Struthio camelus: one gene and its partner. The protein of the gene in region 2 purifies or fractionates together with the protein of the main gene of each other region. This does not show direct contact. Links are inferred from orthologs where the notes say so. Each region holds a gene or a part of one and is shown on either strand. Other genes may lie near its edges. The genes, in order: HRAS and MTHFD2.

What was found.
Region 1: the proteins of MTHFD2 (region 2) and HRAS purify together in Homo sapiens (co-immunoprecipitation; 4 studies listed by BioGRID and IntAct, with this or other methods). This does not show direct contact. The link is inferred for Struthio camelus from reciprocal best matches to the Homo sapiens genes MTHFD2 and HRAS.

Annotation. Positions count from the first base shown.
Region 1 is NC_090946.1:15,868,385-15,883,139, forward strand, and holds the start of HRAS (GTPase HRas), read right to left. Parts: upstream 5,664-14,755; 5' UTR 5,522-5,663; intron 5,402-5,521; exon of another isoform or gene 5,313-5,401; intron 5,024-5,312; coding exon of another isoform or gene 4,890-5,023; exon of another isoform or gene 4,555-4,889; intron 4,333-4,554; exon of another isoform or gene 3,823-4,332; intron 3,338-3,822; exon of another isoform or gene 3,272-3,337; coding exon of another isoform or gene 2,961-3,271; exon of another isoform or gene 2,097-2,960; intron 1-2,096. Other genes in the region: LRRC56 (leucine-rich repeat-containing protein 56), read left to right, coding at 2,961-3,271, 4,890-5,023, 7,994-8,112. UniProt on the Homo sapiens protein: Involved in the activation of Ras protein signal transduction. Ras proteins bind GDP/GTP and possess intrinsic GTPase activity.
Region 2 is NC_090968.1:1,083,856-1,098,817, reverse strand, and holds the start of MTHFD2 (bifunctional methylenetetrahydrofolate dehydrogenase/cyclohydrolase, mitochondrial), read right to left. Parts: upstream 6,569-14,962; 5' UTR 6,332-6,568; coding exon 6,210-6,331; intron 3,540-6,209; coding exon 3,355-3,539; intron 2,481-3,354; coding exon 2,358-2,480; intron 1,875-2,357; coding exon 1,722-1,874; intron 1,644-1,721; coding exon 1,536-1,643; intron 1,150-1,535; coding exon 1,057-1,149; intron 1-1,056. Other genes in the region: MOB1A (MOB kinase activator 1A), read left to right, coding at 7,581-7,594, 12,222-12,388, 13,738-13,831. UniProt on the Homo sapiens protein: Although its dehydrogenase activity is NAD-specific, it can also utilize NADP at a reduced efficiency.

The DNA of each region.
Region 1 (14,755 bases), on a different chromosome or scaffold from region 2:
GAGACAGCATTTTCATTTTTAGGACACCTTAATCTTTTAATACTAAGTTTACTAAGTTGAATACTCTCTTTCTGCCCAAGTAGGCATGCATGATAACCTGTCCACTTCTTGTTACTACTCTAATCAACATGTCACTCATACAGACTCTGAAAACATGAGGTGAGTGAGAAAACCTTCAAGAGGGCCCAGGCTTCTCGCAACAGCCAGAAAACCAAGGGAGAGGCAGAGAAGCATCGCCACTGGGCAAACATCTGCATAGTCATATGCAGTCACTGGGGTTAGTTCAGCTGGCTATTAAGTGTTCCGATAAAAATGTGCAGCACCACCAAGAAGGTGGAGAAAAAGGTGAAAATGGGCTAATTTAGAATGAAAAGGCATGGAAAGAGAGGTAGAAGAAAGAGGCAGAAAAAAGACAGAAAGAAAAGATGATCTGCAGAACAAAGAAAGAACAATATAGGGAAAGGAGAAAGAGTTAAAGGAAAAGTTAAAGGAAATAGATACTGAGGACAGTTCAGGAAAAGATAAAGCATGAAAAAGTGGAATGAAAACTGGAAAGAAAGGGTAGCCTAAATAAAGCAAGAGGAACGTGCCATGGCAGAGCAGTTGAACAGCACTTAGCAAACAGATCATTTGTTTAATCTCAGCCGTATTTGTCAAATAATTTATTTAATACTCTCTTGTGGTATCCAATCAGCTATAAAGCTGATCAAATACCACTTTATAAATGTATTATTAGATTAATACAGGTGAAATTCAAATATATTCAACAGTTTTATTTTTATATGCTGTTTAATAAGCCCTGCTTATAAGTTTACACTTAAAAATGTTAAATAGAAAAGTGATAATAAATTACAATTAGATAAGAGTGCTCAGTACACAATCATTTTCCTTTTCTAGACTGACAAAAAGCACAGTGACATAACAAATCTTGAAGGATGGCAGACGAGACATGGCTTGACTGCCTTTCCTACCTCTTCCCTTCTTCAACACCTTCCCTCCAGAAAGAACCACTCTCTGCGTGTGGTAATTTTTGTCTCAATTAAGGAATTCCCCCATATTCAACTTCAGAAAGCCTTCTTGAGCCAAGAGCACAAAGTTTCCAGTCCCTACAGTCACAAATGTGTTAGGGAGAACCAAGCATAGGTTAGCATGAAGGTAAATTCAGCATGGGCAAACAGCAGGAGGGGCAATGGTGCTGTCTGGCTGCAGTCTCTGGAAGTAAATGTTTATGTTTGTGAGATTATCTTTGCCTCCCTCCAACACAGTTAGACGAAAGAGACTGATGTGAAAAATGACGTACTGGTAACCTACTCTCACCAGGAAAAGCTTCCTGAGTACCAGTTGCCATTTTCAAATCTCCTTAGGAGAACTAAGATTAAAAAAGTCTATCGGCAATTTTCAATCTGTTTTTCCATTTGTGAACTCATATAGTTTTGCAATAGTAACACAAACCCCTCTATACATTTCACATATGTAGGCCGCCGTAAATAACAGATGAACTGGGCCTCCCTGTGTATTTTGTCTCACCTCCTTGGAGTGGCCTCTGGACCCCTCGAAGGGTCCTCAGACCACAAGTGGAAGGCCACTGAGGCTGATGAATGCCATACACAGGGAGGGCCCTGCAGAGCGCCTTATAAAGTGACACGGGGCTGTCAATGAGGAAACTGCGACTGTCACTTTCTAACCTGACAGAGAAAACCGTAGGAGGTTACTCCCACTACTGCTGCCCATTCACAATATACTGTAGCCAAGAACTAAATTTACCGCAACAGAGAGCCTCACCAAGGATAACTCCTTGGGGCTATCCATCAGGTGGAAAAGTGTCCCTCAGGCTGTAAGTCCCGTTTAACTGTTATGACATAAGTGATACCCCAACCTGAGGTAATTATTGCTAATTTTTTGCAAACATGGAAGGTATTTCCTCACATACTTAATCTTCTTTTTATTGTTACAAAAATAAGGAAAGTTCACTGCGACCAAAAAAGACACACTGACACCTCAAAGCAGACTTTTCTCCAGTGAAAACACTGCCAGTCTCCAGACCCGCCAAGGAGACTGAACGAGGAATTCAATCAGCATCAGCTGCACTGGTGCTGAAATGGAGCAGTTTGCATGTTATTAATCATGTGGGGGGGAAACCTCTGAGGAGCAGAAAGAAAGGACTGTCAAGCCTGAACACATGGAGGGGAACTCACACCTGGATTCAGAGTCATGGCTCTGTTACAAACACCCTGTGCAAAATCAGGAAAATCATGCAAGTCTTAGTTTCCCAGCTGTAAAATGAAAATAATCTGGAGTTCTGCAAGGATGAATACATTAGTAATTCTGACCAGGAGAAACCAGTGCCCATCAGCCTTATCACTAACCACCTGGACTTCACTGGGAAGAGCAACCTCACCATGGGCCCAGTGCAATCCCCCTTTGCACAGGTGTAAGGCATCTATGTGAGGCTGAAGGGGGGCAACACGATTGGCTGAAAACCCAGCAGAAGCAAGGCTGGAGGAGATAAAGCATCCCTTTCTCACATTGCTCTCTCCCAGTTGGGGTGGTGTCTCTGGGGAAGGTAATACCTTGGTAATCTTGTGTGTTCAGGTAAGACTTTGCACTAGCTCTCTTGTAATTCTTTAGTTAGCACAAAGCCTAGTGCCTTTTCTCTGTTTAAAACTGGTTCTTACTTGAACCTGTAAAATTTACCCATGTACACCAAACTGGGATGATGAACCCTTAGTAGGGGCTTGTATCTTAAAGATCTCCCTAGGAGTAACTTTCATGGTGAGCAGGCTCAAGGGAAAAAAAAACATTAGGTCATTTAAACAGTCAAGCTATTCCTAATATGTGCTATATAGTACTTGTGCTTCTAGCTGTTCTAAGCATTTCTCCAGTCACTCCAGAGTTTGACAGTCCTCTCTGATTCCTAATCAGCTTCCTTTTGTCTACAGGCAAGCCCCGTTGCTTCCCGAATGCTCACGGCAATTAAAAAACATATCCCTGCCCAGGATCCATATGGGCCGAGGGAGCTGCCAGAAGACCCCTGCGCCTGCTTGGGGCGAAGAGGTAGCACGGCCGGGGCCCCTCCCAATGCCCTTGTGCAGCAGGCAGGGTGGAGGCAGCCTCAGCGCGCCGCAGAGCCCCGGCGGCAAACCTCCCTCAGCAGCAAGGGAGGTGCTGACGGCTCCGCAGAGCTCCCACACGGGGCCTGGCTGGGTGGCACCTACCTGCACCTGCGTGCTGCGCCTCACCCCCACCCTGAGCTGGGTGATGCCTTGTGCTGGTGTGTGTCGGGGATGACAAGCGCTGCTGAGGCTGGCGAGTTGTGGGGGTTTTTTCTTTCCTTTTCTGGGGGGGGGGGGGGAAGACATCACAGAGGTGGAGGGATGCAGGGGCTGAGGAGAGCCACAGCGTGCAGGGAGTGTGGCTTTGGGGGGGGGATGCAGAGCAAGGCGGCTTGCCCCCCCCCCCCCCCCCCCCCCCCGCGGCCGCGCAGACAGCAGAGTCATGGCGCGGCCGGGCGAGCAGGTGGATCTGCGCCGCTCCTCCGTGTCCCCCGAGCCGCGGCGGGGCCCTCTTACCCCCTCCCCAAAAACCACAACGGGGGGGGGGCCAGCCCCACTGACGGGGGTGGGGGGACACGACAAACTTCCCGGCGTGCGCGCGACTGGGGGGGGGGGGCCGCCGCCCCGCTAACAGGTGGCCGCGCCCCACCCTCCTCTTTAACGGCCGCCGCCCCTCCCCCCTCCCAACGGCTGCGGCCCTCGCGCCCCCTCCCTTAACGGCTGCGCCCGTTCCCCCCCCCCCCCCAACCGGCGGCGGCGGGTCACTCACCGGCTCGCACGCCCCGCCAGGCGGGAGGCACCTCCTGGAAGGGGCGGGAGGGGGGGGAGGAGGAGGAGAGGCGGAAGTTTAAAGGAGAATAGTATGCTTTTTCTTGCAAAATAAAAAATAAAAACAAACAAACAAAAAAAAAACAAAAACCCCTCCTCTCAGGCTAAAAACCGCGCCGCCCCCCCCCCTTCCCCTCCCTCAGCCGCCGGGGGCTCCCGCCCCGCTCAGCCGTGCGTCGGCCCGGCGGCGAGGTGAAGTTTCCACCGCGGTGGTGGAGGCGCCCCCGGCGTGGCCGCGCCCGCCCCGCATTGGCACCGGGCGCCGGGGCGCTTTGCCGCCGCCGCCGCCGCCGCTACCGCCGCCCGGACAATGTGCGAGCCGGGGCGGGGGTTTGGGGAGGGGGGGGGGGCAGAGCGAGCAGCGGGAGCGGCCGCGGGAGCGCGCCCCGCCGGCCGCCCGCCCGCCCGCCGCACACGCCCAGGCTCAGGCGCCGCGCCTCGCCCCGCCCACACGGCCGCCTCTGATAGGCGGGCGCCCGCCGCCGCCGCCCTTCCCCGTGGGCTGAGCCGCCCGTCAATCACGCGCCGGGGCCCGCCCCCCTCCCCCGACCCCGCCCCTCGGTCTGGTGGGGCGGCGGCTGCTGCCGGGCCTCCCGGGGGCGTCGGTGTCGTCCCAAAAAAGGGCGGGGGGGGGGGTTAGGGGAGCTGCGAGGCCGGCGGCTCCCCCGTGGGTAGAGCTGGAGGGAGCTGCCTTTGCGCTGCTGTCCGGCAAACGGCTGGGGTGGGGGGGTTTTGGGGGGGGGGGCGGGTTGGGAAGGGTAAAGGGGGGTTTGTCGTGTCTGCGTTGTCCGGTGGGTGAAGCTGTAGGGGCTGAATCCCGCGGGATTCAGGCGGTTCTTGCCTGGCCTCACGGGAAACAGCCAGAAAAACAACCAACCAAACAAAAAAAAAATCCGAATTATCTGCAGGCGGTTTAAGCCAGCCCGCGAAAGCAAAGGCAGCTGGGGCGCGATGAGGCTCCGTAGCCGAAACAAGGCACCACCTGAACCCACTCATCCTGGTTGACAGGCAGACCTCGGCCCCCCGGGGCGAGCGGCCCTGTCGTCGGGGCCTCTCCGGGTCCCCCCCCCCCAACTCGGAGCAGGAGCTAAATCCGGGCTCGCAAAACCCTCCGCCGACCCGAGCTGCTTCTGCCGATTCAGGTACGCCGGGGCCCAGCGCGCCTCCGCTCTCGGGCGTTTTACTACCGCGAGGCACTGCGGTTACTCTAGAAAAGGGGATATTGGGTGGCGTAGACCCCCCCCCCCCCCCCCGGCCGGTCATCTAGGAGCGGGCGCGAGGGAGCTTTGAGGCAGGACAGCAGAGCGTGTCCCCCTGGTCGCGGGGAAAGGGGCGTTTGCTCTAACGTACCCTTCCAGCGCGCCACCACCCTATGGTATTTCCCTTAAAAAAACAACAACAACAACAACAACAAAAAAGGTAGCTGAGAACCTGAAAACGGGGTTAGAAACGGTTGATCTAGGCACCCCGGTTTGACACGGGTAGCGAAAAGGAAGCTGGCGCCCTGCAGAACTCGTAGCTGGAGCGCTGCGTAGATGAAGCAAGTTGCAAGGACGGACGGACGGACGGACGCCCGCCGAGGGTGGCGCGGGTTTCGTTCAAGGCGCGTCCGAAGCCACGGGCCGAGGCTTTTAACCTACCTCGGAAACGCTCGCTCGCTTCTAAAACGCTCTCCTGATCCTGAGCAACCCCTCGGCTCTCCGCAAAAGCAGGGACCGCGGCTGGCAGAAGCGCAGCATCTCTCCTGAGCGCGCCGACAGCGGGAGCAGCAGCAGCAAACACAAAGGTGATGGGTTTCTTCGCAGGCACACGCACGTACGCGCAGCGCACCGCCTCTCTGCACTACCTGTCTCGTCTTGTCTTATCCGTTTCTGGTGAGCAGGCAGGGTACTGGAGCATACAGAAATCCTGCTTTTTGAAGCACCCTGGAAGCGGGCTCAGTACGTTTTTTCAATGCCTAGGTGGCCCAGAAGAGCTGATCAGCGAGCAAAAAACAAATAGGTGGTAGGTAGCAGACACAGGTATGGGCAAACCTTAGTTTCCTGCTTCGCCCTGACCTACGAGTACCAAGAAAACAGAAGGTGGGACTGAAACTGCCTCTTGCTTGTTCTTTGGTGCCAGATCGTAGCAGGACATAAGATACCTGAGGACTGTTTTTTGTTTGCAGTCTGCTGCAAGACAGAGGCATAATCATCTATTGGTGAGTCATGACCACGCTATCACATAGGGATGATGACACAAACTTGTGAGGGCAGAGTAATATAGCTTAAAAATGTCTCTCTCGCTCTCTCTCTCTCTCTTTTTTTTTTTTAATAAAAAGCAAAACATTGGGATGAGATCCTCAGTTGTTGCAAAGCAGCATAGCTCCATTGCTTTCGGCAAAGCTGGGCTGATTCATGCTTGCTGAGGATATGGTCTGTTTCGTTTGCAAAAAGTCATCCTGCCTGGCCGGACCCTTCCTTTCTCCAAACTTGAATTTAACGCTAGTAAAACGTCCTGGCCTATGTGAGGCCTCTGGAAGGCAGAGCCCTCTTATTCAAGCACAGGACATGCAATGCCGCTGTAACAGCAGTACAAATGCCACCACCGCAAACCGCTGGTAACTCCTCCTGTGGTGTCTCCGACTGGACCATCACCAAACTCTTCCAGCGGCCAGTGCGGTTCGTTGCCCTATGGCAAACGTCAAAGCAGGCAAAGAGAAACATGCAGCTCTCGAGGAAACCCTGCCGTGACACTAACTGTTGCAAGCCTTGCTTGACGGGAGGAAGGGAAGGCTGGTCGTAAATTGGGTCTGCTGACACTTAGAGCAATGAAGAGGAAATGGGGAGAATCTCAGGGGGTCCTGACTTCCACGGTAAAAGTGCCAAAACGGAACTTGCTGTGGGGTTAGAGAGCTGCTGAGGCTTGCTCTGTCATCCTGATGCCTGCAGGTTTTCCTGACTGTCATCAGCCTGCAAACCGGAGCCCATAACTCACGGCCGTGCTTAGCCCATCTAATGTCAGTAGGGCTTTTTGTAACAGTACTCCAAATCGAGTCCTGGGAAGGTATGTCGCCGAGTCTTGCAAGCGCTCTGACCCCCAAAAATAGTTGCTTAGCGTTGCTATTCCCCTTTAACCTCGGCAAGAAGGGAGTCATAGACAACAGGTGAGCTCAGCTTTCCACCGTGTGATGCACAAACTTGTGCCAAGAGCTCATTTAGCACTGGATCTTCCTATTCGGCTGTAGATCAAGGCTATCCCAAAAGTTTTTTTAAAGGATAATCTTTTCTTAGAGTTATTTCTGGTAGAAACACCCTGGTGACAGCCAAGCTGAGCTATTTTGCCTATTCCGCCGTGCCGCCCCCCCACCCCCCCCCCGTGAATATTTCTTCTTGCTGCCATCAATATCACCAGCAAAGTAAATAACAGTAATTTTTTAAATATACAAGGGGTTTGAATACATCCAGATTTTCCTCTCAAGCCTGCCATTTTGCACCAAGAGAAACACTGGTGTAATTAACTCAGATAAGCTGAATTTATGCCAGCGTAAATGAGACCAGTCACGGTGACATAAGGATGTACGTTCCTGGCCAGCCTTGGGCTGCCATCTGTCTCTTCTCCCGGCCAGCCCTTCAGCGCTGCTGCCTGTCCTCTGGGCCGGTTCCACACACAATTTGTGATGCAGAACAAGCCCAATTTGTCATCTCTGCCTGCTCCGTTGGCCTCACCCCACCCCGAAGGGTCTATCAATTCTCAGCAGACACCCAGGGGAGGGTAGTGCTGTTAGTTGCCTTTTTTGTTGTTGTTGTTTTGGAGTGTCTGCTTGTGTCTTCTGTTCCTTTGAGGTATGGGCGATTACACCTAACTTTGTGTAATTTTGCAGACTGCTTCTTTCCATGGTTTTGAGTTCTCCCTACACTCAGCTAGTCCATTTTTGTGGATTTTTTGTTTCTTCTGTGTAACTGAAACTTTCTTGGAGTGTTTGGAAGGGAGACCGTATCTGTATGCTCTTCTAAATATTGTCTCTGGGAGCATATTGAGAGCAGCAGAGATTCTGGGGTGATCTTTGCTTTCCTGCCATACCAAACTCTTTATGATTTATTTGTTTATTTGTTTATTTATTTCTCCTGCAGAAACACCAGACTCGGTAATCCTGCAAGCACTTCTGCCATTCTGGCATGTTTCTCTTGCCCATCTCTGTCCAGAGCTTAGAGGGTCAGTAATATCATGGCAGAAAGCGAATGGATATGAGGTAAAGTTTGAAAGTTTTTTGAGTTTTGCAGAGAATGCAAATTGTTTCCTTTTTGTATGTAACAATGTAGCACCAGTAACTTGCCATGGCAACCAGCTTATGAAAGGGGGGAAAGAAAAAGATCATCGCAAGGTGCTTGGTTGCTATAGCAAGGAAAAAAGCTGAGACCTTATCCTTTTTGTTCACTGGTGGACTGTGCATCATCTAGGTAGCAGAACTTGTCAGAAGAAGTTTGTAGTGCAAGTTAGCAGCCTTGCCAGCCTCTCTGATACTTGGATCAAAACCGAAGTGCAGTCAGGAGGAAAGAAGGAAATAGTCAGAAGAATTGGAACAGGACTGGATTTTCAGAAATGCAAGGCCAAATCCATTTCCGCACTAAGCTGATGCAACTCTACAGATGCCAGTAAGGGATAAACCTGTTTCTACTGAAATGAATTTGGCTCACAGTCTCCAAAAGCCTCTGTTTTGGGTTCTTTTCACTTTTTTTTTTTCTAAAAGGGAAAGGTGTCTTCTGCAGATCTGGGAGCATTTTGGAGTTAGCTTGGGCAGAGGATGGAGTAGGCTCGAAGGCTCCTTCTTCAAACCCATCCTAAGGATGCTTCTGGGAAGGGCAGGCCCGTTGATGTACAACTTATTTATGGAGAGAGCTGAGACCTGACAAAGGGAACTGGTTAAGGACGGAGAGGGGAAACCTTAAGAGCTGTCACTGTGGGAGGAGATGAAAATGGAGTTTTAGCTGAGGGAGGATGATTTAGAAAACTGTTATGTATGTGAGTAGTCGGAGAAGCCAATGGACCTCTCCTGTGCTTAAGGTAGGCACGTTTGTAAATCTTGTGGGGGGATAGGAGCTACCTGAAGTGTTTGTTCTGTGCCTAAGCTGGATGGGTTGCTTTCTGGGGAATACCTTTGAAAAGTGAAAGAAAGAAATTAAAGTTTCTTAATCCCTAGGCTATTGATATGAGCTACAAGTAGCACTGCTCCAATTGGGTGATGGAATGAAGTGTATGCTCCTCCTCTTTATTTAAAAAACATTCCCTCCCAGTTCAAGTTTAGGCTGCTGGTAAAGTAGTAAGGTGGTCAAGCTTGCGAAACGGTAGCCAGCCCTCCGAGTAGCCTAGGGGCTTAGCTGAATTTACAGATAAAACTATTGAGACTAGTGGACAGTCCTTTTCCAACTTCCTGGTGAGGCTGTAGAGAAAATATTGCTAGATCACAAGACCCAGCAATAGCACTACTTGGAAAGCAGCCTTGGAGAGAGGATTTCAATGTAACTGATAAATCTATATGGAGATGCAGGGCTATAGTTTACTCCTGACAATGAATTGCTATACTGTAAATGACTGACTATAAAGACACTGTGGGGAAAATCTGAGTCTTCTGCAGCACACGGAAAGCCCTAGATAAAGGAAAGTCATTGATTTAAAAGAGAAAAATACAAGCAAGAACCATTTAACACTGTAATTTAACCCAGTCTGCTGGAGAGCCTTCCTAAAGTCTATGAGCTAATCCTTCCTGCAGATTGCACCAAAAAAGACATGGCCACAAGCGACATCACAAACGTGAAATTCTGCAAGCAGGGTCATCCCGCAGGGCGGGTTTCTCAGAGGTACCTCAGGCTTGGAAGCAGCGGTCCAATTGAGAGACCACATGGAAAGGAGGGGGGTGGGGGGGGAGGAAAAGTAAGACCAGTCCAGTATTTTAGGACATCATCAGCAAAAGACACTGAACGGAACTAGAGATATTTCCTGTACTAGTCAATTAACAGGATAAAACCCTGAATTAATTAACCCTGAATCATTTGACAAAACCTTCCTCATATCATCTCCATCAAAACGCCACGTTGCTGCAGATGACCCAACCAGAGCATAGAGCCACTTTGTTTCTAATCTCCAAAATACTGGCATTGAAATTGGATTAAATTCTACTAAATACAGTACTCAAAAGCCCCTTTAAACTAAACCAAATGAAAACATCCCAGAACATTCTGGGTAGGCATAGCAAAGTGACTGGTTTGGAGAGTTATCTGATCCCGGACGGGATCCCTCCTGTCATGTATTTCCTTTTTGACAGAAACAAAGAATTCGGGCAGCGCCTTGCCAGGTGCCTGACCCAAGCACCACTAGTGTTAGAAATAGGAAGGATTCCTATTGACTACAGTGGATTCTGCTAACAGTTAGATTTGATCAGTCGGAAACTGAACATGGAAACTCAAGGACATAAGATGTTGTGGAGTCGCCGAGGGGAAGGGCTTTGTAATCTGAGCTTGGAAGTGGAAGGAGTTCTCTGTTCCACGGTTTAAAAATGCAAACTATTACTGCTTCCTTTTTTTCCTGTAAAGTAAATTGGAAGGGGGGGGGGGAAAGAAAAGACGAGACATAATTCAGGGACTGGTCACTTCTCATGGGCCAGTCTCCCCATAGAAACGCTGTGCGAATGAACAAGAATGTTATCTCCATATGCATGATATGCAGTAGTTTGTACTGGGAAGCCCCCAGCTGGCTGGATGGTGGGATGTTGTGGATTTCAGATTCTGCTAGCGGGGTGGAGAGGCGGGAGAGGAAATCTCGATTAGATCTCTGACACTCTATTTAGAAGCTGCACAATTGCCTACCAGTTGCAGTCTGGTCTGAAAAGCACTGCCCTCTACAGAAAAGTGCCCCATTTGTTTCTGTGGGTGTTTGCTTAAATCCCTAGCAAATGTTCTTTTTGAAGGTTTTGTGCTTTTCTTCGTGGGTTGTTGCACCAACTCTAGAACGTGAGTTACTTAAAAATGGCACAGAGCCCTCCATGGAAAAGCCCCCACCTGGCCAAGAGTGACCAGGGTTGATAAACATCCCACGTCTGCTTCCACTCACTCCCAGGCCTCCCTGCTGAGATTGCCAGGGTGGATAAGCAAGGGTCAAACAAGGTAGGAGGTCCAGTAACGTAGAAATCTGCAAGGTAGGAGCCACAGTGACTTTCCTGGCAGCAGTTTGCTGGCGTGTGTACAAGAGCTTTTGTTAGCTGTCAGCTTGAAACGAGTGTCAATCATTCCCTCAGAGCCTGATCTTCGAATCACTGCCCTCGGAGGGAGGTTTTTTGCTTCGTCTTCAGACAGCAGTAACTCAGGCCTTTGGAATTAGAAAGCCTTGTTTTTCATTAAACGAGCCCTCACAGCGTTTTGTCCCGTGCAATTTTAGTTTTCAAACCCTACAGAAAAGTTTGAACGCTTTGCAGTTTGCCTGCTGGCAGTTTCTTTATGGGGCGGTTCAGATCACTTACCATGCTCTGTGTCGCCTGTGTCCTGTTTGCTGGCAGGAACCAGAATGTGAGGTGTGGAAACCAGAGGAGCCGCTAAGGGATGCCTTGCTCTCTGTGTCATTTCAGCACCTGCCGATGTGCAACGCGCTTGTCTTTGTGTAGTTCAAGGCTTCTCTGTACCAGATGACTTTGTACTTAAATCTCGGACCATCCCACGTCCTCTCCTGGAGGCGACACTAAGATTATTCTTATTCTTTTAAAAAGAATCTTCTTGCTCCCGAACGCTGTTTCCCCCCACCCCAACATTGAGGAACAATTGTTAAATACATCTGTTTCTCACAGAAATTTCAAAGCAGTGCTGCGCAGCCTGATTCAAGCGTGCACACAGGGTAGAATTAGATAGAATTGAAGACATTTGTGTTTATCTAGTTAAACTACTAGTTTCTTTCCCTTTGATTGCTTTTTTTTAATTGCTGGCAGCCCATTGTCTCTACCCCTGCCACACATCCCTCCTTCTCATCATCAAACTCAAGCTGCTCATCCTTTGCTGCTCTTCTGTCGAGCCCGTCCCTAAATCCTGTTTCTCCTCCTTCAATAAGGAGCTGCCCTGAGCCTTAGTTCCCACCTTTGCAAAGCGAGTAAAGCTGATGCAGAATAATACTCATTTAACAAGTAGCTGCCCTGTAGACTGGACAGGAGGTTGGCTTCCAGCCCTCTACCATAACTCCCTGCTTCTTCAGTACTCTCGAGCCTTTGGTGCATCCGCTAGCCCTATATGCAACCTTCATAAAGCTGGCAATTGCTTTCCTGGTCCCTTTCCGTTATGGAGAGTGGCTTTCCACTGTGCCAGCCTCTTCCTGAGTCTCTTGCTGGGGATTTCCAGCTCCTTCTCTGTCCCCTTCAGTGATTACCCAAAATTTACCTGGACTGTACTGCTGTAGTAACAAAGCCCATTGCTGACCTCAGCCTTTGTGTTACTGAGAGCCAAGGCAGATGCTCCTGCAGGGAGCTGCTTGCTGTCAGAGCCCGAGATCCTGAGCTATACTGCACCCTGTAAGCTCGTGGTGGCAGCGGTATGCCCACCCCGAGTGAGGTTTACGTCAGGTATCAGAAGAGCTCCTTAACGGTTAGCATAGTTAATGCACAGGCGCAGCTTATTTATCTAGGCTGTCCTGAGAGACCCTAGCGCTAGAGACCCTCACCCTGGTGGCGGGTCTTCCTATACAAGCCCCTTCAAGTACAGCGTGGGGGTAGAGATCTTGCCTTCAGTCAGAGAGATGGTTTAGTTGATCTCCAGGTCTCTTCTACATCTCTTTCGCATAGATCCTCTTTTTTGCTGGCGGCTCCCCCCCTTCCTTATCAGAGGCCTTTCCAAGCAGGGCAGTCATGGTCCCATACCGACCCCATAAAGGGGAAGGGGTCACCTGCCTCACTCTCTGTCTGCATCAGCCCCTTTCTCCTGCACCTTGTCCGTCAGGGAAGGCAAAGTACGGAAGAGGAGCTGCAGTCGCTCGTGTCTTGCAGGGCTGAGGCAGGGCCATCGCCCGTTTCCTAGAAACTCTTCAGGCGGGTGTTTGTGTGCTCGGCAGTGATGTAAGTGGGTGCGTGCGCGCATCACTGAAGTGCTGGCTGATGGCTTCCAGAGGGCAAATGTTAAACGTTTTTGAAGTCAGACCTCCTGTAAGATACCCCAGCTGAGATGTCCAAATCAACATGTTGCAGATTTCTCCTCTGGTCTCAGGATCTTGGCTTTGCTTTTTGCGTTTCCAGTACTTTGGGCAAATGCTGAGACTGATGCACTGAAATACTCATCAGAAATGTTATGTGGATCCGAGTAATTGATTGAATTTTAGCCACTGACTATGAAAACACGAGTAAGCTAATGTTAATCTACAGATGTGGTATTACCACTGAGTGATTTCCCAGTCCTCATTAGCAAGGTGCTTTGATAACAGCAGAAGGCGTTAGCTATAGTTTCCCTTCAGTAAGCTGTTTAATCATTGGGGCTTACCGGCAGCGGGATTTGGGAGACTTACACGATCGCAAAGTGAATGAAGAGTAATATAATACCCTCTCTAGCTTCTCTGTGATAGCGGACAGAGGAAGGAACGGACTCAGGACTGCTCTGCTCCCCGATTTTAGGAGAGACTGGTGTTTTTCAGGGAGCATGTGCTTAGGCACTGCGTGGTGGGAGTGAGGACTGAGCAGGAGGCTTCTGCCTCCTTCGTCAAGATCTTCCTCCTTTTTAGGAGCGTACTTGTAACAGCTTATAACAGCTCTCCTGCTGGGATCAGCACATGCCAGGGAACTTGTCATAGCATGTTGAGCAGCATGTTCTTGTTGGCTCACTGAGGTCAGATCCAAAGCCTATTGCAGACTGTGAGGAGGATTCATGGGCTCGTTCAGTGGCTTTTGGACTGCTCTGTGGAGGCAAAAATACTACAGCGGATAGGTATGAGAGGGTGAGAGCTGGTGAGGGGACTCTGCCTTGCCACCCCATTTCACTCGGAAGGCAAAAGAGATCCTGCATCCCAAGCCTGTATATCTCAGAGCAGTAAAATCAGAATGAATCCTCCTTGATAAGTATTCAACTGCACTTTCTCCCCTGGTTTCTGATCCACCTACATCCCAGCCTTTCTGAGGATCGCGGGTAATGAGAGGAGAACAGCGCTGCCTCTGTGGTCATCTCCGCGCCCGCACGGAGCTGCCAGTCTAGCCGTGATTTCCAGTTGCTCTTTTTAAAATACTCTCGACCGCTGAGCCGTTCTCATCTGAACATCTCAGACGTGAAGTAATCCCCCTAGCATTTCTAGAGAAAAGCGGACTGCTATTAAACCTGTTCTACAGGTGGGTAGGCTGCGCTCCAGTCTGCCTGAGATCACAAAGCATATTTAAGGGCCAAACTGCCTGGGCTGACACGTTCCCACAGCAGCAATGACTGCCTAAGAGGAATATTAACCTACTTCACTAGAGGCAAAGAGCGCCTAGGCAGAGGGGAGGGCTGGCCACACAGCCTGCTGCGACTCTGTTTATGTGTGTGCACACATGACGACAAAGTAAATAAACCTAGCTGGCATCCTGGCTCGAATCCAGGAGTCCCGAGAACGAAGACTCGGTGTACGGCGAAGCTAAATGCCACGCTCGGCCCTTTGCGCCGAGCCATCAGGCAGGTGGGAATGTAAAGCTCCCTCTGGTTGCTTGTTCCTGAGTCACCTTCTTTAGCGTTTATTATTGCCTAGTGTGTTAGCGTACTGCTGGCTGTAATAAATGACTTCATCCACTGCAGCGGTGAGGACACTATTAAAAATTAACCCTGGCAAATGGTCCTGCATATTTTTCAGCCAGAGCCAGGCAAGGGGGAAGAGGAGAGGAGAGCTGTAGAAACCTGATTTTCAGAAAAGGC
Region 2 (14,962 bases):
GGTTGACCCATCTAGGCCTCCCTGCCTCACAAGGGCAAGTCTCAGTTCACCACAACCCAGTTGGTGGAGGCATTGGCTTCACCTAAGGGCGATAAAACCCCCAGCATGGCAGGGAGGTGGGTAGGGAACAGCAGCTGAGGGCTCAGCCACCCTTTCAGGGTGGGGTATGTTTGTCTGGTTTTACCAGATACTGCCTCAGCTGACTGCAAGCTGAGGAATTCAAATTCCTACACCCCATTCAGCTGGTTAACTCTTTAGGGCAAGTCCTGCTCTGGTTTGATAACCATCTTTGGCAATTTACTCAGCTTCTGCTACCTTTCTTCATCTGCCAGCAGCGTGGCTGTTGTCCTTACATGCAGTGCCACCTTCAACACCACTACCACTTCTGATCCTTTCAGGATCTTGTTTCTAACCTGCATTTCTCTCCTCCCTCCCCACAGGCTTACACCAAGCTTCTGCTGGCAGGCACAGAACCTGAATTGGCAAAACACTTCTGCAGATGAGCTATCCCCATGCCTAGGGCAGAGCCTGGAGAAGAGTAAACCTGCGTGAGCAATTCCTCAGGCTCTGAAGATGCTAGAGCAACTGTCCTTCAGCATTTCACTGTCTCTAGGTAAGCAGACCCTGTTTTGTGTATGTTTGTGGGAAATACAAACTGTCTGAATGTTTAACAGAGCCTGTCTGTAGCTGGTCTTTGGATCTCGTCAGGTGCTTGGGAGCATACCAAGTCATTCTGCCAGGTGTTAATTTCAAAGACAGACCTGCAAACAGCTCTGCTGGTAAGATCAAGCATGTGGCTACGCTTATCAGTCTAACCTGGCAGGCTCAAATAGCCCCTCACCCACCTTCCCAGCCATTGCCTACAGCATCTGCAAACAGCCATGGTAGAGCCAGGCTCTCCCACACTACCAAAGCTGCTTCAGATGGAGAGGCCCCCAGGACATCCGATACCAACTGGATTGTCTCCTCAGAGCAGATTCCCCATCATAAACACCACATGTAAGCATCAATGCAGTGTCTTCTGTGCACCTTGCCTACTCCAGAGTTTGGTCTTACCTGCTGCTGCTACCACAATATCAGCCCGAATTGTGTGTTGCTTCAGCTGCTCCTTGGGAGTGTAGCGGTGAGATATTGTTACTGTGGCATCACCTGCAAGAGCAGTTACATAGAATGTTTTACCCATGGGTACTACCTGAACCCAGCCATTTCTAACTCTTCACCCTCAAGACCAGCCTGGTCCATCTCAGGATGATCAGATCTTGATGACTAACCACAAGGAGCAGCCTACTGAGAGGCCAAGGACTACTGAAGATGGCCCTGAAGTGTTACAAGACTGCATAAGGGCAGAATTTTCAACTCAGCTGTGGAGGTCACAAGCGCTTGAGGCCACAAGCGGCCATAACCCACAGGATACACCAGTCCAGAATGCAGTCCCAGGACTGGTTTAGGAGCCCAGCAAGGACCATGTGAGAAGCACAGAGGGCTTCCTTCTGCAGCCATCTGGGGTGCAGGCACTGAGGCTGCCAAGCTCCTACCTCCTGGGCGCTCGTGCCTGCCATCTGTATGCAGCAACATGGCAATGGGCATTCCCACATTCTTCGACCTGCCAGCCACCACCACGTTCTTCCCCAGCGTCGGGATGCCTACAGCACACAAGACCGAGTCTAAGACAAAGACGCTACTGTTATGCTAGACAGCAGCCAAATATTGCAGCAACTTACCAGTCCTCTTGATGATCTCCCACACCCCCCACGGGGTAGCTGGCAGCATGGAGTACTGGTCAAGGCACATACGCCCCACATTTATCACGTGAAAGCCATCAACATCTTTGTCTGGGGTCACAGCATTGCAAACCTTTCGCTCATCAATATGTTCTGAAAAAATAATCCAAAAGCTTTAACCCTAGGGATCAGCCAGAACCAGCTCTTTCCAGGCAGCCAAAGTCTGACCTGCTGCACCAGTCCCTTTGCCCCTCTGGGCTTTGGAAGCTTGAAGCTACTGGAAACTTCCAGCAAGTTCAGAGCTAACAGCTCCCCCCAGAAGGGGACTGGAACCACACCGGAACTGCAGCGTCTCTAATGCAGAAAGGATATTTTTAGACAGCCTCGGTGTCACAACTTCAAGCTTCTGGCTCAGAAAGATGATACTGCCCATACAAGAATAGACTTCTGCAAGGCCAGCAGCATAGGCAGCTGTATGGTGGAGCTGCTGTATCAATTTCTTTGAGCTGCAGCATAGCAGATTGCCAGCTATCCTGTGACATGAGAACTCCTGTGCTTCACCTCATTCTGGCACCTACAGACCCTTCAAGACTTCTATAAGAAAAACAGGAAAAAGATAGAAGTCTAGCTACTCACCAGGCAGAGGAAGCTGCACTAACAGGCCATCCACATTGGCATCATTATTTAGTTTGCTAATCAAATCCAGTAGCTCCTCTTCAGTAATAGAAGCTGGCCTGAGGATTGTTTCACTGCTGATTCCTGTGCAATCATTCAAAGTGCTGTATTAGAGAGCTGTATGCGCACAAGCAGGAACCTTATTCCTCAACCCAGTCCAATCGGACTCTCAGCCGTGCATCATTGCTGTACCAAATCCAATATGAGAATACATACACTCCTTGGTGTTACAAGCAAGACTTGTGACAGCCTCCAGTCTGGAAGGCCTTGAAAGTTAGGGATAAGGACCATTAGTTAGTCTGTGTGCAGCCACCCTCAGGAAAGACTGCCTGAAAGTCAAAGCCCTCCCAAGTGCATGGAGCCCTTTGAGAAACCTATGGGGAATGTGGTAGGATGAAGATGCAGCTGCATTTCCCGTGGACCCTCCTGACAGAGTGACAAGGGGATGTTAGCCTAAAAACTCAGCTCCAGAGAAGGCTTTAGCAGCACAGTACCCTATGAGGGGTTAGGCCATTTAGCACCCCAACCCCCCTCAGCATCTTTCCTAGAAGCATACTTAGGACACCTCAGGCAGCCTAAGGAACAGGATCTTGGCTTGCAAGACTGGAAGGAGTCACAACAAAGTAGCAGGAGTGCACTGGATGTCAACTGCATTTTGATTTTTGCCTTCTTTCAACTGCTCAAAGTTCCCTGCAGGCTGTCCTGTGTGGACCCGAGAGGCCTGCCAATTCACAATACATAGCTTGATGTTGCATTTTCACATTAACTACACCCCAGTATTACTATGAAAGCAGCCAAAAAGTAACAGCAACTGCTGGGGTAAACCCCAGACTGGTGAAAAGCTGCCAGATAGCCGCATCCTGAAAGCTTCCCCCCAGCATAGAGGGCTCCCAACTAAAGCAAGATATTAAACAGTCACTTGCTCCATTTTTGGAGAACAGCAGAGTACAAGACCTACCTACGTCAGCAGCTGCTTTGGTTTTGTTCAGTACATAGGAGTGGCTTGCAGGATTTTCACCAACAAGAACAACACTGAGGTGAGGTCTCTTGTTTCCAGCCGCTACCCACTGTTCCACCTCATGACGGGCTTCCTGTCTGATCTGCCGGGCCAGCTTCCTTCCAGAAATTACAACTGCATCATTGCTGCAATAAACAGAGTGTTAATGAAGCAGTCAGCACTGTTAGGAGCATCAAATTCTAGCTTTGGGCAACAACCACCCAGGAAACAGGTGCCCACCACAAGGCATTACAGAAACAGCCCTTTCACTTCAGCCACACACACAGGTCTGCTGCAACTGTAGTGCAAGACATGATTTGCAGAAAACACCAGGTAAGCAGCACATTTCAATCTTCTAGTTTACAGCTTTGCTGCCTGAAACCTTGATACCGGACAACAGTAAAACTGTTGCAAGGACCAACTCATTGTGCAACCTCAGAAAGCCCGCAGACTACTCTTCTCTGGAAGGGCAAGAGTCCAGACTCTTGTCCAGCACATCAAGTCAGATACTACTAGTTTCCTTTTTTAGAAGGTCAGTCATCCGTCCCTTTCAAAGGCACGACAGCTTCACTACAAAGGACTTGCGTAAAGCAGAACTCATTCCACCAAGTGGAGTTTCCACTAGAGAGGTCTATTGAGTAACTAGCTTGTTTGACACAGCACAGGAGGTGCTGCACACTGTACTTCTGCACACAGCGCTGTTGCCAGAGATCCCCATCTCCCACAAATCCCTTGACAAGGATCTCAGCCCACCTAGCACAGCACGTACCTTGCACACACCAGTCTTGTGCCCTCCCTTTTTAAAGGGGGGCTTCCACCGTTGCAGTAGTCTTTTCAGACAGGTAAAGCCATACTGAGGATACTTGGTTTTACCCCCTGCAAGGCTTTAAGACGCCAACTTTCTGCCAGAGTAGGGAGGACACATTTGCCTGCTGTTTGAACCACACAGGAACAGCTCCTTGCAAGCATTTCTAGGCTAAATTGGTAACAGGAATATATATGGTTCTTGCCAAGTACATTCCAGGCAACTGGATACCCTGCAGTACATAAAGGCTTGCTCAAAATACAGCTGAGGACACGGCTGCCAGGCCTCACTGCCAGCTGGCTATATACTAACTGTTTGCTTTCCTTTTTCTTCAGGTTCTCACTTCAATCTGAAAGTCATGCTCATTCACTAGTTCCTCTGTGACGGGATTCACCTTCCCAAGTGTCACTTCTGGACTCAGCTACAGCATTTGAGCCTTGCTTTCATGCAAGGCCTCGCTACAAGCTCCTTGCTCACTTGCTGGATGATTTTCACTGGCCAAGACAGGACCCTCAGTTAGTCCCCTCACTCGAAGCAGGCAAAGATGCTCCACGCAGCATCACGCGAGGGACACTTTCGGCACCTTCCTGAATCACAAGAACCAGCCAGTTTCTGAAGCAGTCGCCCCGCAAAGCGCTTCACAGCTACACAAGCCTCAGAAGCTACTCAACTCGCAGAAGGTACCAACCCAGGTGAGAAAGCCTTATTGCCAAAATGCTTTGTCGGAGGTGTAGGGGATCTTTTGCTTCTTCTTAATCCCAGAGCTATTCATATAGGTAGCTTTCCCATTACTGAATCATAGCTCATTGCTAAAGGGAATCATCCAAGTCAGATCTAGCTAGCAGTAACCACTGAGAAAAATCCATCTCGGACTAGCTTAGCCTGCTGAGCCTTTTTAAAGCTTGTTTTAGCTTCAGAGCTAAACCTGCACTAAGCAAAAGGAATTACTACAGGCACCTGGCAAGCTACTATCAGCACAAAAGGCAAGTTCAAAAATCAAGCTTTCAGCCCCACTTCCAACACTTACTTTACCAGTCCAAAGACAAATTGAAACAAGAATTTACCAGAATATCCTGGCTGCATAACCCTAGAGGCTAGGGGTGCCAGCCTTGGCCAAGAGGGGAAAGGGAGACACATCAGGCGCCAGCCTGAGGCTCACCAGCTTTGAGGTCTGTCGGGAAGTCCGAGGTTGACAAAGTAAGAACTCAAAGCATGAAACAGCAAAAAAATTCAAAGTGGAAGCAGCCGCTCTCCCAAAGGGGGTTTTTATGGCATTGGGGCAAGCTGTTTTAGCCTCGCGGTGTATTACTGCTCAGGTGATAGCTAAAGAGAAGGAGAAAGTAAATTCGTTTGGGTTTCTTGCACAAAGTCATAGCAGTCAGGGGCACTGAGGGGACACACTAAGAGGGTCCCTCCAGTCCCCTGGCACCACTGAAAACAGGGATCAGTGCTCCTCCTGCCCTGAGGAGGCCCCGAGCCCTCCGCAAGGGGGGCAGCACTGCACGGGGGGCTCCTCCTGGCCCAGAGATAGCGAGGCCTCGGCACTGCCCAGTGCTGCCAGTAAGGTCGGGAGGGCCCCGCTGCCCTGGGGGGCTCCTCTCGGGGGGGGGGGGGGGGTGGAGGCTGCCCCGGGGCAGGGGAGCAGCCCGGGCTCCACACGCAAGGCAGGAGTGGGATTTCATCAGCCTGCACCTCCCGGGGCGGCCGCTGGGGGCCCTGCCTCATTCATTCCCGGTACCGGCGGCCCGGGGACGGGGGGGCTCTCGCAGCCCTGGTGGGGGGCAGCGGGCTGGACCTTCCCCCCCCCCCCACCCCTCAACCCACACCGGGCCCCCGCGCCGGTACCGCAACCGGCGTGGCGACGGCGGGAGGAAGGGGGGGGGGGGAAACCGGGCCCGGTGCCACCGCCCCCCCCCCCCCCCGCCGCCGGTAAGCCCCGCCTCCCAGCCGATAAGCCCCTCCCATCCCTAAATAAGCCCCCCGCCCCTGTGGGGCGCTCCCTGCCGCCTACCTGGGCGCCGTGAGGTGCAGACGGCGGCTCCGCGGCAGCAGGTGGAGGCGGCCGCCGCCGCCGCCACCGGAGCCCTGCGCGGCGCGGCCCAGGGCGCGGAGCGGGCCCAGCGCGGTTGCCATGGCTCTCCCCGGCGCGACGACGGCAGGCGACAAGGGACACGCCACAAGGGATGCGCGAGGACCCCCGCCGAGCCGAGGATGGCTTTATATAGCGCCGCCGTCGGCCCCGCGGCCGGCGGCAGCCAATCGCCGCGGCGAGGCGAGCGGCGAGGAGAAGGTGAGAGATGATTGGCGGCGGCGAGGGAGGGGGCGGGACGGAGCCCGGGCTCTTCCGCTGCGATTGGGTCCGAGGGAGAGAGGTGCTGGGGGGACGGGGTGGGCCGGGCGAGAGGAGCCGGCCGTGTTTGATTGGTGGTGGCGGGCGGGGCTTGTGCTCCGTAGATGGGCACGGCGGCGCTGATTGGCTGGGCCGGAGGCGGGGAGGGAGTTTGCAATAGGGGCTGGGGGTTGCGTAAGCCACGGGCTGGCAGAGGGGCGCTTCAGTGGCCCGCAAGGCTGTGGGGTTGCCCAGGCCCATGGCGGGGGGGGGGGGAGGCTTTTGGGCGGGGCCCCAAGACCATGGTGGGGGGTCTCAGTCCTATAGGGCTGCCCAAGCCTTTGGGGGGGGTCCTAGACCCATAGGGGGACCCAGATGCATGGGCAGCCCAGTCTCCTATCGGGGGTCCCAGGACCCTGTGGGAGCTGCAGACCCATAGTGGGCTTCACTCCTAGATGGGGGGGGGTCCCAGTCCTATAGGGGAGCCCCAGGCCCACACAGGAGCATAACCCAGCCCGTACGGGAGCTCAGTCCTATATGGGGGTCCCAAGCTTATAGGAGTGGCCTAGTCCCATGGGGGGGGCCAAGCCCATAGGGGAGCCTAGTCCTATATGGAGGGCCTCAGACAGGGGTTCTAGGCCCATAGGGGAGGTCCTAAGCCCGTACAGGGGGCCTAGTCCTATATGGGGGGGTCCTAGCCCCATATTGGGGATCCTAGCCCCACAGGGGGGCCTAGCCCCATACGGGCATCCCGGGCCCGTACAGGGCTCTAAGGCCCATGGGGAGGCCTGGCCCCATAGGGTCCTGCAAGCGCCACTGTCCGGGCGGGGCGGTTGCCATGGTGAGGGCTCCACCCCCCCCCACCTCCGGCGTCGAGGCCCCGCCCCCTGCCGCGGCGCTCCCCCCTCCCCAACCCCCGCTCAGTCTCGCGGTGCTCTCGCGAGAGTAGGGACGAGCGGCCGGGCGCGGCCCGCCAGCAGCTGGGGCCCGCGCGCCTGCAGCCGGCGGCGCCGCCTCGCCTCAGCCCGGCCCGGCCCGGCCCGGCGCCTCGCCATGAGCTTCCTCTTGTGAGTGCCGGGGCCGCGGGGGAGGCCGTGGGGGTGCGCGGGGGGGGGTCTCTGAGAGGCCTCGGGGGGTGAGGGGAGGCCGTGGGGGTGCGCGGGGGGGGTCTCTGAGAGGCCTCGGGGGGTGAGGGGAGGCCCTGGGGGTGCGCGGGGGGGGTCTCTGAGAGGCCTCGGGGGGTGAGGGGAGGCCGTAGGGGTGCGCGGGGGGGGTCTCTGAGAGGCCTCGGGGGGTGAGAGGAGGCCCTGGGGGTGCGGGGGGGGGTCTCTGAGAGGCCTCGGGGGGTGAGGGGAGGCCGTGGGGGTGCGCGGGGGGGTCTCTGAGAGGCCTCGGGGGGTGAGGGGAGGCCGTGGGGGTGCGCGGGGGGGTTCTCTGAGAGGCCTCGGGGGGTGAGAGGAGGCCCTGGGGGTGCGGGGGGGGGTCTCTGAGAGGCCTCGGGGGGTGAGGGGAGGCCGTGGGGGTGCGCGGGGGGGTCTCTGAGAGGCCTCGGGGGGTGAGGGGAGGCCGTGGGGGTGCGCGGGGGGGTTCTCTGAGAGGCCTCGGGGGGTGAGGGGAGGCCGTAGGGGTGCGCGGGGGGGTTCTCTGAGAGGCCTCGGGGGGTGAGAGGAGGCCCTGGGGGTGCGGGGGGGGGTCTCTGAGAGGCCTCGGGGGGTGAGAGGAGGCCCTGGGGGTGCGGGGGGGGGTCTCTGAGAGGCCTCGGGGGGTGAGAGGAGGCCCTGGGGGTGCGCGGGGGGGTCTCTGAGAGGCCTCGGGGGGTGAGGGGAGGCCGTGGGGGTGCGCGGGGGGGTTCTCTGAGAGGCCTCGGGGAGTGAGGGGAGGCCCTGGGGGTGCGGGGGGAGTCTCTGAGAGGCCTTGTGGTGAGATGTGGGGTGTTGGGGAGGGGGAGGCCCTAGAAATGAGACAGGGGCTGGAGGAAGGCCTTGTGGGGAGGCCCTGGCAATGCAGGGGAGGGGCCTTCAGAGAGGGTTTAGGGGGCAGCCCTGTGTGTGTACAAGGGCCTCGAGGCAAGGCCGTAGCAGCGTATAGAGAGTTTTTAAGGAAGGCATTAGGAGGAAGTTCTGGGTGCATGTGAGGGCCTTGAGAAATGTTTTGGGCAGAAGACTCGAGGGTTAGTGGGGGGCTGGAGGAAGGGTTTGGGTGTTTGGCGGGGAGGCCTTGGGGATGTATGGAGGAGAAAGCGCTGAAGGGAGACCTCGAGGTGGAGGCTTTGCGGGTATAAGGAGGGGGGCTGAGGAAGGCCTTATGGGGAGACCGTGGGGATGGAAGGTGAGGGGGTTGAGGAAGGCTTTGGGAAAGGCTCTAGGGGTGGTGGGGAAGAGTGCAGTCCTATGGAGGAAGCCAGAGGAGGCCCTGGCAGCGTATATGTTTTTGCACCTACTTCTAAGACCAGCTCCCAGTTTCAGGCTGGAAGGCTGTGGCAGAGGGTGTCTCCTAGAGCCAAAGTCCTGGGATAGGCTGGGGAAGGGAGCTGACTTTGGGGCGGTGGGTGAGGCAGGCAGCCCTGGGGAGCACCCAAGTAGGGTGAATACCCTGCCAGCCTATGGGGGGAGGAGCCTTTGTGGTGAGGGAGGCCCTGGAAAGGGGGTGTATTGCAAGGACTAGTCCCTCCCTCTTGGGGAGAATTTGAGGGGATTGGTCTTACAGGGGAGAGATGAGGCCCTGCAGATAGGGGGGGGGGGCTGCATCAGGGTTGTAATTGCTGAGTGTCTGCAGGGATGATTCCCAGTAGTGGGAGGCTCTAGGAATTTGTGCATGGGGAGGGCCTTTGGGGCAAATGGGGTGACGTGCTGTGGCGGAAGGCTTGCGAGAGGGGAAGGAGAAGCCCTGGGGTGACTGGAGTAGGGCCTGTCTCTTGGGGAAGCCCTTGGGATGGATGGGTGGAGGCCATGGGACGTGGGAGAGGGTTTTCCAGCGTGTGGAGGAGCGGTTCAAGGTGGTGATTCCGAGCATGGAAAGAGTGGGATGAGGCAGAAAAGAGGAGGGGAGGCCCTTGCTCTGTGGGGCTTCCTTCTGGGTGGGATTTGGGTGGGCCTTGCTGTATGCGTGTGGAAAAGAGCTGCTGCAGCGGAAAGGGCTTGTGCCCTCAGTGTCCGTATTTGCACGAGGGGCTGTGCTGATGGGATGTGGGGCAGCCTGATTGCAGTTGGGAAAGGCATTAAGCTGGCAGACTTTGGTGTATCTTATATGTTTGTTTGGGGTGGGGAGGTGATAGCCTAGCAGGCTGGAGCTGGCCACTGGTGCAGAGGACCGATGTCTGGATATGAGAGCGTGGTGTCGGCAAGCTAGGAGACATGCCGTAGGACAGGCAGGAGTATGCCAGGCGGGCTGAGGCTCTCTGGGTTGATGGGGCAGGACATGCCTGTTCTGATACGTGGGCTGAAGTTGAGCTGTGGCAAATGATTTGGAGGAAGTGCGTGCAAACAGAGAGACTGCTTGACTTTGATGTTTTAAATGTGTCTTTGATGAGCTACAGAGGGTAGGGTGTTACAGGTATGCATGTTTGTAGCTCCTAGCTCTTGGGTGCCGCGTGTGAGAAGGAGTTGGTGACCTGTGGCGCGAGAAGGGGCTGGGGAGCCTTTGTGCAGGGTCAATTACATGCTGGGTCTGCATCTACTGTAGCGTAGCAGGAGGCAGTAGCTTGGTTTAGAGCGAGTTGGGTGTGAAGGCCCTTTATTTCTGCACCAAACAGATAGCTTCACCCACTCTGCGCTCCGCTGAAGTGCTGTCAGTCCCGCGGTAGCGTTGCATCAAGAAGCTTGCACGAGGCACGTGTGAGCCAAGCGCGTCCAGTTGCGTGCGACTTTGAGGCAGGGTGCCAGCGATGCTGAGCTGCGTGTGCCAGATAAGCGTGTTTCCACTGAGTGACTAACGGGAGAAACTTGGGCCCTGCCGTTCGTTTCGTTTGTGCCTCTGCCTCCTGAAACCAGAAGTGATGCTGGTGAAGGCAGCGGACTGCTAGTCTGGACTGTTAATCCAGGAGCGGGACAGGGAGGGCTCTGCTCAGTTGGGTGCCTGAAGGTTCATGGCTGTGATTTAAAGGCATCAAAATTCCTCCCTTTTAAGCCTGGTAGCTGTGCAGTTGACCGCTTGTGTACGCATAGCTTGTTGTGTTCATCTTCTTAAATCGACGTCTGCTAGTGGTAATTGTTAGTTCCTCTTCAGGATTCAGGCTCTGGTGTGCAACGTGCTGCACGGTCTAAAAAGAATTCAGTCCTTTCATCCTGTGTAGAGCCTGTTTTTGGAAGCCTTAGCGTTTGTACACAGAAATGAAGATAATACTGTTGCGGGGGGGGGGGGGGTGCTTTTTTGTTTTGTTTTTTGTCACGGATGTTCTTTAGGGCGCTCTGTGGAAGAAGGCTCAGGTACTGTTATCCCTGTTTTAGGGACAGGGAAATTGGGGTCTGGAGTCACTAAATGATTTGTCTGATGAGCGCAGATGTTCATGCTATGCAGTATGTGAAGACTAACCACAGCAGCAATTTGCATTGCGGGGCTGGAGTATGCGAAGTTGCTATTTTTAGCAGGCGATTTCCTACGCTGTGTTTGAGCAGTAAGTATCTCATATTTGCCCCAGTAAAGCTGATGTAGCAGCAGCCAACAGATTTTTGGTTTTGTGGTTGGGTAAGGTGGTGTTTTTTGTCCTGCCCCCCCTCCCCCTTACCTGTCTGCCAGTATCATTTAAGGCAACTGCTGTTAATCAGCGTTCTGGTTCTTTGCACCAAATGTTTCCTGTGATTTGAAAAGGGTATAGAAAAGAGAATTCGGCATGTGGCTAGAGCGACTGCTAGCTTTTAAGACGAGGCAAAGGATTTCCGTGTCAGCAGAAGGGTCTGTAGCGATGTTTGCACTCGAATACCTGACAAGCTACTTTCCTATGGTAGTCGGGAGTGGGAAAGTGATGTTTCGTTTGGGGGTGGGAAAGCGATGTTTTGTTTGCATGTTGATCCATGTTCCGGTAGCAGGGGCTGAGGTGATGGTAGGTGAGCTGTCCTTCCTTTGCAGAAGCTGCCCCAAGAACAGAGGCAACAACAGTTAATCATGGCACATTAGTGTTTCCCCCCCCCCACACACACACACCTCTAGGCTTGTTTTTTCTGTAGATAAAGTTCTACTTCAAAGCACAGAGATGTGAAACTCAGAGCAACGCTTTCCTTGGCTAAAAGGAGCTATAAATGCTACTCAAATGCAAAATAAGTAGTCATACTTTCTAAAGTATAGGACTTTTTTCACGTGGCTGTGGTTCCACTGTAGGGTTTGTGCGGGTAGGGTCCTGTTCGGAAAGTCGGGGTCAGGTCCCAAAATTGCAAGTAAAGCTAACGTAGGTAACTGTGGACCATCTCTATTCAAAATTTCTCTTGCTAAATTGGCAGCACATAATTAGTGTCTTTTTTGTGAAGCTGTCAAAACTGCTTTGGCCTGCACGTGGACTCTCTTCTCCTCGAAGAGGATGACGAGAGGCCTGGTGTCGGGGGTGAGGGAAAAGGGCAGGACTGCTATATAACCTCTGTTAAAAGTGCTGGACGGCAAGGGCAGATACGGTCACCCGAAGGGAAAGCCGCAGCAGGAGTTAAATATTTCTGAGAGGGGAACGCTGCTGAAGGACTAATTGGAAACGTGTTTCTCTTTTGTCAGTGGCAGTCGATCTTCGAAAACCTTCAAACCCAAGAAGAACATTCCTGAAGGCTCCCATCAGTATGAACTCTTGAAACATGCCGAAGCAACTTTGGGGAGCGGTAACCTTAGACAAGCGGTTATGTTGCCGGAGGGAGAAGACCTTAATGAGTGGATCGCAGTTAACAGTGAGTCCTAAGAAAGAGTAATCCAGCTCAGCGTGGAGGTGGAGTTAAAAATACCTATATATACATCTCTGGTTTACATCCTTAAAAAATGAAATTCTTATCTGTGTCCCAGACATACTGTAGGTAACTGTGTCAAGGAAGGCTGGAATAAAAGGAAAGAGTAAGTTTTAGGGCATGCCCTGACAGCAAACTGATCCTGTGTTGAATAGATGCTGAGCTCAGGAAGCACAAAAAACAACCCCAAAACCCCAAGACAAACCCACGCTGTTGTTTTTTTTAAAGGTCAGGCTTCTAAAAGCAATTAGATTTCTGAATGGTTACATCAGTATTTGGGTGCGAGTGTTCAGTATTGATGTTTTGAACTATAAAGCAAGTAGTTAGCGCTATCGGCTGCAAAAATCACAGCAGCAAACAGCACACGGGGAGAAAAATGGAACTGCATTCACCTCCGTTAAACTCTAGCTTAGAAGGTTGGCGTTATTTTCCATTTTCATGTTGTTATTGTTGCACATGGAGTAAAAATACTGGGTTAATTCTGATGGTTGAACAATTACAGGCAAATTAATTTGCTTTTAGTGATTGCTCTACCTGTCCTTGATTCCTTTAGATGTTAAAGGAAAAAAGCAGTTTCTGAGCAATGGGAGACATAAAGTCAAGCCACCAAGATTCAGCTTAAAGAGGATCTCTTGTATTTGTAAAAACTGTGTGGGTGAAGGTGTTGTCCAGCCTTTTTCTAAAGGCATCTAGAAGGTGAAACAGTCATTTGCAAGTTATGAAAAATGAGAAGAGGGCACGGGGTACGCAGGCAGGCTGCTATTGATCCCGGAGTCCCCTTTTGCACATAGGGAGCGGTGTGCTTTATGTCGCTCATAGAAATGGTGCGAACTCCTGTAGGGCCGGTGATAGCTTTCTTTCTGGTCTCTGCTCTCAAGTAGCCTTTCAAAAAGAAAACTCGGGCGCTAGAAATTGATTTGTCTTGTATTGAAATGAAAAAACGGGAAGGCTTTCTCTGTGGGGCTTTTTTTGATTTTTCCTGATAAATTGCATGCTGCTTTACTGCCACGGTGAAGAGAAGCTTCGTGCTGTGCAAATAGTAAGTAGTCCTAAGTCGAAAAATGAGATGAAAGCTCACCGAGCGAGCGAGTAAAATTCCTAGATTGTCAAAACGTCTCTAAGTCTTTGGCCGCGTGGCATTGTACGGAAGGGGAACGTTTGTTTGTGCAGGTGCACCCCCGCCCCGTGACAGCGTTCCTCAGAGGCTTTGTCGGCTGAATAAAATGAAGTAGTGCTACGGTACCTTTCTGCTTCGCTTTTGCCTTTTGAGTAAACTTGATGCGTTTTCTTTCCAGCGGTGGATTTCTTCAACCAAATCAACATGTTGTATGGGACCATTACGGAATTTTGCACAGAGGCGAGCTGTCCGGTGATGTCTGCTGGACCAAGGTAAGAAGGTTGCTTCGGTCTACAGTTGCGGTCTGCGTGACAGGACGTAGGCGTGCGTAGAAGGAAGATTAAAAAGACCGAGACGTATCTGAATGCACTCTCGCAGTGACGCTCGGCCACGGGCAAAGCGTTGAGTACGTTAGGGAGAACGCGCGGTGTCGGTAGCCGTTGGCCAGTCTTGCACGTTAAACGAGTGGGGATTTTTTTCCCTGCTGATCAGTGAGGCCTGTATCTTGTCGGGAACCTGGAAAGATTGGTTTGTTAAAATGATTTGTTCTAAGGAAAATGATAGGTCAAACTTGATCTGAAGCGTCAGGTATTGCTCTTGAGTCTTACTGTAGCCTCTCAATCTGCTGTCTTATGGAATGAATGCTCTGAGAGACCGTAGCGTGCTTTTTAAAGTACAAGCGGCTCCAATTGCTGCTGCTGCTGGTAGAGGGTGGAATGCAAGATGACACCAGATAGGCAAATAGCCGGGTCGGATTACCGTGTGGTGTGTGCAGCGGAGAAGAGGGTGGCCAGATGCTTGTGCCATCGAGGAGAGCTAAAGTGGGAAAGGGAACATCACGGAGATTCTAAGGAATAGTATGTACATCAGAGAAGTGCTTTGTGAATGTCTTTTGGGTCTAAACTTTGCATCAAATCAAGCCGGGTAACGTTTGTGCCGTCGGACCGTCCCGAAGCAATTTTAGGCCAGCGTAGGCCACACGTCGGCACGAAGCCTGCGCCGTCCCGTGGCGGTTTCAGGGGCTCTTGTCTCTCCAGTCACGTCGGTGGCGCTCGTCACGCGGTCAAGAAGCGCAAGCGGTGGTTTTCAGGATGTGAGTTTAAGACACCTGATGCGGTGTTAAGGTATCTGCTTTGCAGGAGAAGGTCAGGGTGGGTTGAAAGGAGGACAAGAATAGGGGTTGCGTCCTTGGGGTGCCTGGCTGTTTTTCCGAGTTGCTTTAGGAGGCTGTTTTTATGAACATCCAGAGGGAGAGAAAGTATATGATGGCTCTGCGCTACCTTGCAAATGGCTGCAGCGTTTCTGCCAAATTTAGCCTCCCACGTCCGGTGCCGAGCGTTTCCTTGCAGGTAGAAACTAATTTGTTTGCTAACTCTTTTGCCGCTTGAGTTTTGATGCCGTAG